Linked DNA regions of Nothobranchius furzeri. The protein of the gene in region 3 interacts with the protein of the main gene of each other region in a pairwise test. Links are inferred from orthologs where the notes say so. Each region holds a gene or a part of one and is shown on either strand. Other genes may lie near its edges. The genes, in order: srpk2, srsf6a and RNA-binding protein with serine-rich domain 1.

What was found.
Region 1: the proteins of RNA-binding protein with serine-rich domain 1 (region 3) and srpk2 interact in binary tests that used the Homo sapiens proteins (3 or more experiments, as listed by UniProt). The link is inferred for Nothobranchius furzeri from reciprocal best matches to the Homo sapiens genes RNPS1 and SRPK2.
Region 2: the proteins of RNA-binding protein with serine-rich domain 1 (region 3) and srsf6a interact in binary tests that used the Homo sapiens proteins (3 or more experiments, as listed by UniProt). The two-hybrid records come from large-scale screens. The link is inferred for Nothobranchius furzeri from reciprocal best matches to the Homo sapiens genes RNPS1 and SRSF6.

The regions. Positions count from the first base shown.
Region 1 is NC_091744.1:58,288,750-58,292,304, reverse strand, and holds part of srpk2 (SRSF protein kinase 2), read left to right. Parts: intron 1-538; coding exon 539-626; intron 627-839; coding exon 840-927; intron 928-1,022; coding exon 1,023-1,129; intron 1,130-1,917; coding exon 1,918-2,083; intron 2,084-3,555. UniProt on the Homo sapiens protein: Serine/arginine-rich protein-specific kinase which specifically phosphorylates its substrates at serine residues located in regions rich in arginine/serine dipeptides, known as RS domains and is involved in the phosphorylation of SR splicing factors and the regulation of splicing.
Region 2 is NC_091755.1:32,899,133-32,903,406, reverse strand, and holds the start of srsf6a (serine and arginine rich splicing factor 6a), read right to left. Parts: upstream 2,802-4,274; 5' UTR 2,464-2,801; coding exon 2,357-2,463; intron 1,962-2,356; coding exon 1,795-1,961; intron 391-1,794; coding exon 218-390; intron 120-217; coding exon 1-119. Other genes in the region: eif2s2 (eukaryotic translation initiation factor 2 subunit 2), read right to left, coding at 4,019-4,194. UniProt on the Homo sapiens protein: Plays a role in constitutive splicing and modulates the selection of alternative splice sites. Plays a role in the alternative splicing of MAPT/Tau exon 10. Binds to alternative exons of TNC pre-mRNA and promotes the expression of alternatively spliced TNC.
Region 3 is NC_091752.1:58,150,448-58,154,676, reverse strand, and holds RNA-binding protein with serine-rich domain 1, read right to left. Parts: upstream 2,836-4,229; 5' UTR 2,714-2,835; coding exon 2,712-2,713; intron 1,810-2,711; coding exon 1,660-1,809; intron 1,564-1,659; coding exon 1,384-1,563; intron 1,305-1,383; coding exon 1,199-1,304; intron 897-1,198; coding exon 743-896; intron 646-742; coding exon 504-645; intron 430-503; coding exon 324-429; 3' UTR 35-323; downstream 1-34. UniProt on the Homo sapiens protein: Part of pre- and post-splicing multiprotein mRNP complexes. Auxiliary component of the splicing-dependent multiprotein exon junction complex (EJC) deposited at splice junction on mRNAs.

The DNA.
Region 1 (3,555 bases), on a different chromosome or scaffold from region 3:
CCTTCATTAGAACCCTTTGGATTATCTACAGATGACTTGTTAAAGGGGTTAGGGTCATCATAAACTTCACATACTTGCTGGGTTTGGCGCCTGACCTTCAGTAAACAATGATCTCTCCAGTTTTTTGTAAAGTTGAATGAAAACATTTCCACACAAGAAACGTCATCGTTTTAGACTGACAGTTCAGCTCTGAGTTCATTCAACAGTCATATTTCCCACACTCATTAATCTTAGTTCCAGTTCTGGCAGAAATAAGTGAAACAAAGACACAAACATTACATTTTTGTTTGAAACACAAACAGCAAGACACTATAACGTTTTTTAACTGTGACATTTTGGCTACTCAGATATCTCCTGTCCTGTCAGTCCGCAGTAGAAGGATGAATGTGTGAAAGAGGTCTGTCAGAATAGTTTTTGTGGTGTGATAAAAATCCAACTGTTGCTCTAGTGTCTGTGGGAAAGACAGCCAAGCTCAGACGCAGGTTAATGTGGTCAATCATATATTCTGTCACATGAATGCCGTGTGTTTTTACTGCAGAGTGAAGAACTTTGTGGCGATGAAGGTGGTGAAGAGCGCCCAGCACTACACAGAAACGGCCTTGGATGAGATCAAACTGCTGCGATGTGTGAGAATCTGATTGGTTGATTTTGTCCTTTTCTATCTTGTTCTTATAACAGGTCTTTTCATCACACTCCCTGCATTTTTCTGCCACTCTGAATCCTTCCTGCAGCCTTTCTTTTGTCTTCCCACACTCCCGCAGCACCACCACTCCTTTGTGGCTTATCTTTTCTTCCTCCAGCCTGTCTCACCTCATCTTCTCTACGATTTCACCCCCCAGGTGAGAGAAAGCGACCCCGGTGATCCCAACAAGGACATGGTGGTTCAGCTGATTGACGACTTCAAGATCTCTGGGGTCAACGGCATACGTATCCTGATCAGAAATGTGCTCATCGGTGAGGTTGTGTGTGTTTCTGTGTGTCAGAGACGTATGATAATGTGAGTCCTTGACTCCTCATCCCAGATGTGTGTATGGTGTTCGAGGTGCTGGGTCATCACCTGCTCAAATGGATCATTAAATCCAACTACCAAGGTCTGCCGCTGCCGTGTGTCAAGAGCATTATCAAACAGGTGACTGACACACACACACACACACACACACACACACACACATCATGGTTTATTTATTCTGAGTGAAAACCATATTCTGGTCGAGCAGTGACAAATCATGATTGTAAAACCAAAATTTACGAGTCCCTCTATTTGTACAGTGGACCATTTAATAATTCTCAGGCCAATGAAAGAAGAGCAGATACTTGTTTGCTTCAGACTCAAGCATGGCTGCTTTTCTCAGACACGAGCCTCAGAGATTTTTACCCATCAGCCACCTGGTCAGCATGTGATGACGCTGAGTATTTTCAGCGACTGTTGGCCTCTCACAACCTGAGCTGGAGAAGAACAGAACAATGAATGATCTTGTTTCTGTCTCAGTCCCAAAGCCAAAACAGTTGACCTTAAACATTGGTATTTTTGTTTTTGTTAATCTGAAACTCACAAACAGAAAGATGTATTCATTTTGACTAGGGCTGGGCGACATGGCCTAAAATCAGTATCACGATATATCGAGGATTTCACCTCGATGACGATAAACGGACGATAACTAAAGGTACGCGTAGAAACAAAAGTTTTCCACTAGGTGGGGCTGTCACATTTTTACATGACTCAAGGTGGTGCAGCTTCTTAAAGGGACATGGACGTTGCCAACCTACGCACATCTTTTCATTTTTTTTATTATCAATTTTATCGACATGGGAAAAATTATCTCTAAGAGTCAGAAATTTTGATAATGATACATTTTCGATTTATTGCCCAGCTCAAATTTTGACCCAAATAGATAAATGTATGTGTGTTGTCATCAGGTCCTGCAGGGGCTGGACTACCTCCACGCCAAATGTAAAATCATTCACACAGACATCAAGCCAGAGAACATCCTGATGTGTGTTGATGACGTGTTTGTGAGGCGGATGGCCATGGAGGCAACGGAGTGGCAGAAAGCTGGAGCCCCACCGCCGTCTGGATCAGCAGGTAGCAACACACACACACACAGTCAGAGGAGTGGAGGTCACGCTGAATACAGGAACCACAACAGGCAAAAACACAATTTTTATGCTTAAATGTTTCATTTCAATCAAAAGAGGCATGATGTGTCTGTTCTGGTGTTCTAATTCAGCTGAACGCCTCAGAGGTAGTCTTAAAGCTGTATTTAGATTAAAACCGTTATAGCAATGTCTGATTGATAACACTTGAAAATGTGAAGTTTGTGGAGAATAATACAAACCCTTAAAGTAATAAAGTCTTATCTAACCCTCCCACTGTCTTTATGGGTGACCCCACGAGGAAAGCTGACCATTGAGCAGAGTTGATGGTTTATGCCTTGAGGTCCACGTGGCAGGGGTGAGGCGGTCATCACTCCTCACCCCTGCCACATGGACCCAAGGGATGAACCATCAACCCTGCTCAGTGGTACACTTTTCTCGCGGGGTCACACCCATTAGGACAGTGGGAGGGTTTAAGATCAAATAATTTAGATTTGTTTGCAAAGTGGGGACAACTGTAATATGGCAGGAAGCCACCTCATATTCCTAAATTGAATATGATTTAATGCTTTCAAACACCTAATGACTCCTTATCTTTCCCTCTTTACTAGTAAAGCGTTTAGTGCAGAAAATAAATGCACAGATGAGCTTTTAATGTTTCCCTCTGGTACTTGAAACCAATTCCTCTTGCTTTTCCTCTCTTATCTCCAACTTCCTGTTCAGAAGAAAAGAAAGAATCAGGTCTTTTAGTGAAAGTCTGTAGAAACTCTACATGAACCCTGTCCTCTTGGTGAACCTCGCCACAAGCTGTCAGTTACTTACATCAGCCGGTAGTCTGCTTCAGCTTCAGGGTAACCACTTAAACTCCTCGCATTGCTACATTTATAAAACACAAACTCAACCTTCAAAAGTCGCTCAGGTATTTAACAGGTTCAGGCTAAAATGGGTTTAAAGCTGGAGCATGAAAGGTGAAGAAAAGTGTTCCTGTGTCAAATTTATATCTTAACACCATCTTACTTGTTGGTTTCCAGAAGGGCCTCAGTTCTGAGAAACAATTTACTTCCTACAGCACGGATGAGGTCATAACTAGTCTGAGTCAGCCAAGACCAAAGTAGATTAGGACCACATTTAAACAGTCCCAGTCTCCTAACCTTCACCTGTCTCCCTTCATTTGTTTTATGAACGTGTGCACCATCTTTCATCATGCTGCATGTGTTAAAGACACTGCAACTAATACATTTAACAATATAATAATAGAGACATAAAACCCACACCACCTGTAGATCCTCCATCTGAGGACAGACATGTACAGGACTAGATGCAGCAGGTTTTTGTTGAAGATACTAATCCTGACACTCCATTAGGGTACCTTAGGGCCAGAGCCACCACTATTTCATGCTGGAAGCGTCAGCGGTGCGGAACGGCAGCGGAAAAGTTTACTTGCGAGCTTCGATGCCGTCC
Region 2 (4,274 bases), on a different chromosome or scaffold from region 3:
TCCAGCTTGTCCATAGCCCTCTTCATGTCAGAGTAGGACCTGAACTCAATCACTCCCTCATTGGTGCGCTCCTTGTGAGCGTCTGCGTAAGTCACCTCTCCCGCCTGACGCATGAAGTCCTGGTTAAGTCAAGATAAACGATTAAGTACATTTTAATGCACATATTGTTGCAAAAAATGTCAACACTGATTGTCTGACCCAGGTTGGTCAAAAGTACCTTGAGATCCTGCCAGCTACAGCGACTGGACAAGTTCTCCACAACAAGACGGTACTCAGTACGAACTGGAGGTCCATATTTATCCCGACCAGTGCGGCTCCTGCTGCCGCCGCCGCCACCACCGCCGCCGCCGCCACCGCTGCTATAACCACCACCACCTCCTCCACCACCACCTTTGAAAATAACAAAACACAAAAATTAAGAAAAGCTTAAAAAAAAAAAAACAATCACTGGTCTGGACATAAAATTAAAGACAAAATCTAACTCCACAGGGAATAAGTTAAAACTTCATGAAAGAAGACCTTCAAATCCCAATCTTCCCCAAAAAGCTCGAGATAAGCAATTTTTATTGCATAGGGCTCTAAAAGTATGTACTGATCACTTTATAAAGAGACTTGCGGCTACAGAGTACACCACTGTGTGTTTTTGGCGATACAAAGCCTGTTATTTCATCGTGTAGTACTGTGAAACTTTAGCTGCTTAAAACAAAAAGGACACTGACGCTCTTTAAGACCCCTGAATCCTGTAACAAAGAGAAAAGAGGCATCCACATTCATCAATTAAACTGAAAATGACTGATGTGCTTATCATTTATATTAATACTTTATTTTACCTGACGTCAGTCTGAAATTCCAGTTTTTCACTTACAAAATTTCTTTAGACTGGAAGTTTTTAACTAGAGCCGATCCACTCATGTTTGCTGTCAACATAAAAACCAATGGCAATCCTCACCATCACCCCTGGTCTATTGGCAAAAGGCTGCTGTCATCATGGCTTCCGGTTAGGTCAGCCAAGGATCAAGAGGGGGGCAAAGGTCACACACACATTGTAAGGTGAAAGCCAAGGCCAAACGGGACAGGCAGTCATCTTAGCCAGTCATCTTTAGCCTCAATGGACTCTCAGCCTCAGCCCGCAGCTGGACTCTTTCAAATTAAAACATCAAGGACTTTTGTTAATGTTTAAAATATATATAATGAATATATGCCAAAGTTAGCAATACACAAATCACAGAAAATGTTAGTTTAGCCCTAACCATCCTAACACTAGCTATGTATGCCACGATCAAAATGTATTTAGTATTTTACGCAACTTTGTAAACACATTTTGATTATAAATAAATTTACGCTTAATGTTTTCTCTACTACACTTCTTAACTGATAAATCCTCTGACTTGCAGTTATTTGCTCATTCAGATGATGGTAGAGGCAATCAATCCAAAATGGCCTGAAACCAGGAAGAGCAAAAACCTGCAGGTCAGCAACCTACAGTCAGATCTTACAGCAGCTCTCGAGTTCCTGGGTGAGATGGGACCAAATCTCGTTAAAAAGGAGTGAAAATATAGTTTTCATGTACTTGACTGCAGATGAGATAGGGTACCAAAAAATTTTCAATTTAGACATTTAACTTTAGCTAAAATGTGTTACTTTGTGATGTTGCATATGTTAAACTTAACTCGAATTGTGACGTCAATCCTCATAAAAAAACACAGTTCTGCGTAAAAACTTAGAAATCTGTAAAGGCAGAGTTTTTTGTACTTAATGAAGAAAACTGGGTACATGATAACGGATTGTACTTACTGCGTCCACCACCCCAGTAACCCCCACCGCCGCTGTAGCTGTCTCGGTCACGGCGCGGCCCCCGGGCATGCTCAACGATCACCCGCTCTCCGCACAGCTCCTTCCCGTTCAGCTCGTACACGGCATCGTCGGCATCTCGGTTGTCCTCAAACTCCACGAACCCATACCTTCAAAATAAAACAACACAGTAAAAAACACAAATAATGAAATATATTTAAAGACCCAATGAAAACGTAAAAAATGTGCAACTGAAAAATGAGGCCTAGAAATACGGCCCCACACTAAGCCCACGTTAGCTTAGCATCATCGAAAATACAAAGACGCCATGTTGGCCATGCGACATTTGCTACACGGGCAGGATTGAAACTTAAAAATAACCTAAACATGATACACCTAGCAAGAAATTACCATCTATACTTTTAGCACATTTGATATGGAAACCAATTTTTCTACTGAATCACAACAAAATTGCATAAATGGTTAAAAGCTCTTGGAGCAACATTGGCTACTGAAACGTTTTAGCAAGCTAAACCTCACACTCGATATTTCACTTAAAACTCACCCATTTTTCAAATCAATTTCCATTAATTTACCATAACCGCTGAAAAATCGCTGGATATCTTTCTCACGGACATGGTAACTCAACCGTCCAATATAAACTCGAGGCATTTTGTTATATTTTTCCACAAAAAAAAACGTCGTTATTGTACGGTCATCACAAGATGTAGCGTTCTGCTTCTGATGCTAACTTTACAAGCTCACCCCTCAAGAAGGCTTCGGCTCGCGCACTAAGGCACTTAGCCAACCAATCAGCGTCAAGTTAACGGAATGACGTTACCAGTAATGGAACTTCAAAATAAAAGCCCCACTTGACAAGTTTAAATTGTTTTAGAAAGAGAAACGAAAAATGTCGAATCATAAACTTATTTTTCCTAGTCATTTATATTAATTTTCGTGCCTTTTCTGGCCACCATATGAATGCTAAAATTACAGAAAAACTTGGTTGTTTAATTTGAAATTAATTTAATATCAGCTTCAACATGAACAATGTTTGCATTTATATTGTTGGATAATGAATTTTAATGAGTAAATTTCAAATTTTAACCCTTCTAAACCAAAATACAATGACCCCTTGAATTAGACACTGGCACACCTACATAAACTAGCAAGATTATGTTGGGTTGGGTTCCACATAAAACTCTGTATCTACCACATCATGGACACAACTGGGAAAAAGTAATGAAGTAGAATATTTTATTTAGGTAAAAACCAGATTTTAAATTGATTCATCAGACCTTAGCGACCATACTCAAAAGAAAAAAAAGCTGAACTAATATCACATGACAACCATCATAGAACTGCATTTTTGTAATCCAGGAGAGACTGTGGTGGAAACAGATTCAACCCAGTTTATTATTTTTTTTTTAATGATGGGGCACTTTCATTAGATAAAGAAAACTTACTTTTCATGTCAAAAAATATTTTTTCCCAAGTGGCTTTAATTAAATCAGTAAGATAGAAATATTGTCACTGGTTTTATGAAATCAAGACTACAAAAGCACTCAAAAACAGTTTGTATTTCTGTTTTACACCTCACATCAGCCATTTTAACCTTGGCCTCCTCCTTTTGAGCCCCAACGGTTTGATCTCAACACATTTTACTGTAAAACCACAAGCAAGTCTGTGAAACTTTAGCACTAAATGTAATGTTTGTGCTAGACAAGAAAAATCATTTTTAGTTTAGCAACAAAGAGCTGGAGAATTAAGTAGGGGCCATGGATACAATTAAAGCATTTAAGCTTTCTTCATGTGGACTCTTTTAGCTTGACGCAATCTGACTAGCTATACGGAAACATGTTTTTAGTCTTCATGACTGGTATGTGTAAAATGAAAAAACTAAAATACCTGACAACCTGTGGGGTTTTCTTCAAGAGATTAAATCACAGCAAAATAGAAAAAAAAAAAAAAACCTGGGAGGCAGAGGGTTTGTCAGCCACGCAACCAAATGCATTCAATCCAACAGTAAATCTGGAGAACGTCATCTGCTTACAGCATCTGTACCTCTTCAGTTAGACTTAGATCCTCTTTCACTTCCTGCCTGTAAAGGCTGCAACCACTAAACAACCAAACCCTCCCGCAGTTCGATTCAGAGAGTCCTTTTATTTAAATCAGAGGGGGCGACCGATCCCAGCTTTGGAGAGAGGGAGCCCACTTTTCATGGCCTTTAGTTGGCTTTGGCGCGGAGCTGCGCCCGCTTGCCCGTCACAGCCTGGAAGCCAGTCTTGATGCTGGCAACAGAGCAGCGGGAGTGGCACGTCTCACACTGCAGGAAATATAGACGAGTGTCCTTCTGCAGGATGGTCTCTGGAGAGCGGCAGGTGTGACAGGTTACGTATTCCTCTGCAGGAGCGAGAAGACTGGTATCAGTAGCAATACAACAACCAAGGTCCAAATCTAAAGCGTATGTCATTCAGTTATCG
Region 3 (4,229 bases):
CTGAGACAAGAAGTTTAACTTGAACATTCAGAAATTCTGTTTCTGCATCTTTATTTTTTAAAAGTTAAAAGGACGTAATACAAGGTAAAAGGAAACAAAATGTTTGTAGATCCCGGTAGAGGCAACATAAAACTAAGCTAACTTTTCTGAATCAACTTAGCACAAAATTTAAGAAAAAATCAAATGGAACAGAAGCACTCTTGCTATGACCACACATACAGCGTAGATGATGGCATTTCTACTGAGTCAAAGGAGTCTGAGAAAACGAGGGTTGTAGCTGATCAGCATCACAGCGTAGAAAACCACATGACATCTGAATGAGTTTATCTGGAGGAGTTGGAGCTGGAGCGAGAGCGATGGCGCCGGCGACCAGGAGACCTGGAGCGGGAACGGCGACGTGCCGGGGATCGTCTCCTTGGAGAACGAGACCTGAAACAACAAAAACGGCATTATTACCTGTACACGTGTGTGTGTTTATGGCTGAAACTGTCTGTAGGCGATACCTCCTCCTCATGCGTGGTGGGCTGCGCCGCCACATAGGAGGTGGTGGGGGCATTCTGCGAGGAGGAGACAGTCTGCGAGGTGGTAGACGGATCCGTTGAGGCAGAACAGCAGCGGCTGTGATTTCCTGTCCGTCAATCTGACCTGTTTTTATAATAGTCATAAAAAATAATCAACACACAGAAAAGACCCCCAGTGTTCCTGAGACCCAGAGGCTGTTAAATTGAACATGCACACCAACCTCCGTCCATGTGTTTAAGGGCCTTCTGTGCCTCCTCAGGGGTCTCAAACTCCACATAAGCATGGCCCTTGCTCAGGTGTGGGTGCATCCTATCCATCTGCATGTCAATCATTTTGATTTTTCCATAAGTGGAAAAGATCTCCTGGATGTGATCCTGGTACAACAGAAATAGAAAGGTCAGATATTCTCTCAACTTTGACACAAAATTATCTTGATGCCAAACAAATAAAACAAACTCTTTATTTTCTCCTTTTTGTTTTGAGCAGAGCATTGCTGATGACTAACACACCCGATGCACACAAGAAAATCTTCTCAGATTTTATCTTTAATTACTACACATTAAGGATGTGCGTGGCTGTTCTTGTGCACTTACATAACCTTGAGATTGCATCATAGTCTCAAATAAAAGCAGACATGATGAGAAAGAGAAAGCAGATGTTCTTCATTTAAGCTAACCTTGGTAACGTTTCTGGTCAGCCTTCCTAAGTGAACCTTAGTGGGTTTGACAATCGGGCTTCGTTTCCTTCGCTCTTTGTCCTCTCCTCTCTTCTGTGTTTTAGACCTGAAAAATCAGAAAGCAGTAAATAAATAACTAGAAACCAAAAGTCATCGTAAACACTGAGACACGAACAAAGACTTACGGTGATCGGGAGCGCCGGCGGTTGTCATGGCGCCTGCGGCTGGGGCTCGGCGAGCCAGAGGAGCTGGAGGAGGATGACGATCGAGAGCTGGACGATCCAGATCGACTGGTGCCAGAAGAGCTGGATCCACTCGAGGAACCTGAGCTAGAACCAGAGCTGCTGCTGGATGATGAGCTAGATCTGGATCCGGTCACAATCAGAACAAATGAAATGGTTTGTTAGGAATTTTTAGCACAGATTTCTCTAGTGATATAACAAATGAGAAGGAACTCAGACCTGCTGCTGCTGCTGCTTCCAGAAGAGGCACTACGACGTTTCCTTACTTTGTCCCGTCCTCTCTCTTTGTCTCCTTCCTTGGTGGCAGTCTTCTCTTTGCCCCTATCTTTAGATTTTTCTTCCTCCTTCCTTTTCGTAGGAGATGGTGCCCTAAAGTGATGTAAACATCTGTTAGTTTAGTTGTTTTACACAAATGGATTTAACAAATCTAAGAGCTACAAATTGTGGGAATGTTCAAATTCATGCAGAATTCAAATCTGGGTCTAATCTGTAATCTCAACAAGCTGAAAATGAAACCCAAAAAGTGTATTTTGTGTTTTCTGTCAGTTAAAATGAAACACAAAGCAACATTTTAACTGTTGTGTTTAATCTTTAATGCTAAGGAATATTTCTTTAGTGTGATGCACTACCATTACTGTGGAATTACCACAGAACGCTAAGTTGTTATTCCAGCTGTTAAAACAACAGACTAGTCAATAAACTTCTGTCTCTTTGTTTAGAATAATTAAACCCCAGTAGGTTTATTTCCTTTTGTGCAACAAAGATTTTTATAATTTTATTTTCTTGAACATTTATCAAAACTACACTGATGTCTCAATTTTAAAATAAATCCCTTAATGTAAAAGCAACTGATAAAAAAAACTAATAACGTTTTTCTCCTAATATTACACAACTTATCTGGCACCAAAAATTCAAGCCGTAAGCTAGCTGAAAGAGACTAAACACGATATACATGATTTATAACTGAAATAAATAAAAACAATCCACATCACACATAGTTTAGGGAGCACCAAATGTCTGCTGGAAATCGTAAACATTTGTTATGTTATTATAGGAAAAAGCAGCACTCAGGCAGAAATCCGCCGCCAACGAGTTTCATTCAGCCCGCTGCCTCTAAACAAGGAGAGCTCCGACCATGCCGTTAACCGATCACTCAGCTCTTCACGCAACAAGCACACGACGGTAAAACACGCCTGGGTTTTCAGAGTTGATTAACTAAGCATCACAACTAAAAACGGACAGTTTTAAGCCAGGAAAGAGCTCAAACCTACATTTTTTATGGACGATGTAGCTCTGCTTCCACCACTTGCGGCCTGTTCGCTTGTCGACGGTTGATGACGCCAGCGGAAGTTGCGTTCCTGCTTGAGCGCCACTTACAACTCATTTGTTTATTTTACGACGTTGACGGTGAAATATCAGCTTGCATTTCCGACATCTCTGTAGAAACACAGACGGACGCGCTTTTGGATATGAAATGAGTTTGTCAAGTTTGAAACGGTGGTGGGGCTTCGCTGTTGTTGACAGAGAGAGAGAGGTACATTAATGACAGATGTTGTTGACAGCTAGCTCAGCTAGCATCTGTTTTCCTGTAGATATGTGTCCAATGTTGACATGTAGATGCGGTTTGAGCTGTTGCGTTGCTGTAGCGCATTACGCGTTAGGACAGTGTTAACAGCTGTCTTTAAGAAGACACAGATCACAGCCATTGACGGACTGCATCAATAAATTCATATTAATCTGTTTTCATTGAGAATGGAAGTTTTGGGGCTTGGTTTGTGTTTTGAAACGTTCACCGTTTGGATTTCTTTTTTAAGGATTCCGGAGTAAAAAGGTGAAATGATCATGCATCATGCCTGTAATTTCACCATGGTTTAACCAGGATTTATTAAGTGAGCTCATATCCACATGCGTGAAACAGCCTCATGCTTGTTTTATAAAAGATTAATTATTTGGTCTCCTGATTACTGGAGTTGATTATTTGTACCTTTCAAATAACCATGTTTAACTGAGGCATTAATGGTCCATCTATTTTCAAGAAACTCCTGAAGACCCTGCTCTTCAGAGAACATCTTCTAAACTAGCACCCTCCCTGCACCCATCCCCTCTCTACTGTCCACTCCTTGTTCTCCATGATTCATCATGCTGCCTCACTGCCACCAACTGACTGGAAATTGTTTGTTGTTGTTACTGTTGTTGTTAGCCTCAAGGGCAACATGCTGATTATCACTTGTAAGTCACTTTGGAATCCAAAGTTTGGACTAAAGCGTCTGCAAAATACATAAACATCTATCTATTTAAATGGATGATTAAAAAATATTTAACCTGAGGTTTTGTTGCAGCCATGTGACTGGATGCTACATACGGTATGTTGATTATACATGTTCATTTCTGAATCAAGTGTGAGCTGAAAGTAGATTTTTATTTGCAGAAACATTATTTCATTTAAAAAAACTTCACTTTTCCTAAAATCTGGTTTCAATACCTGCACAGCCCTAAAACCTACATTTATGTCCCATTCACTTGTGCTTGAGATCATGAAGTAAAACGTGTGTGTAGATATGCTGATGAAGGTTCTCAGTCATCCAGGTCATGGTAACCCAAAGGGTTCAGATGAAGGCAACTGGACTTCTTTAGTTTCTTGAAGACAATTTGCTTCTCATCTGAGGAGCTTTGTCAATTCTAACTGGAATATGGGAGAGTCAAGCTGTCTATTGTTATTTAACGAGCCAAAACTACTCTGGGTACCCGCTTCTCCATCCCCTGATGAGTCGTCAGCCTCTATTGGGAGG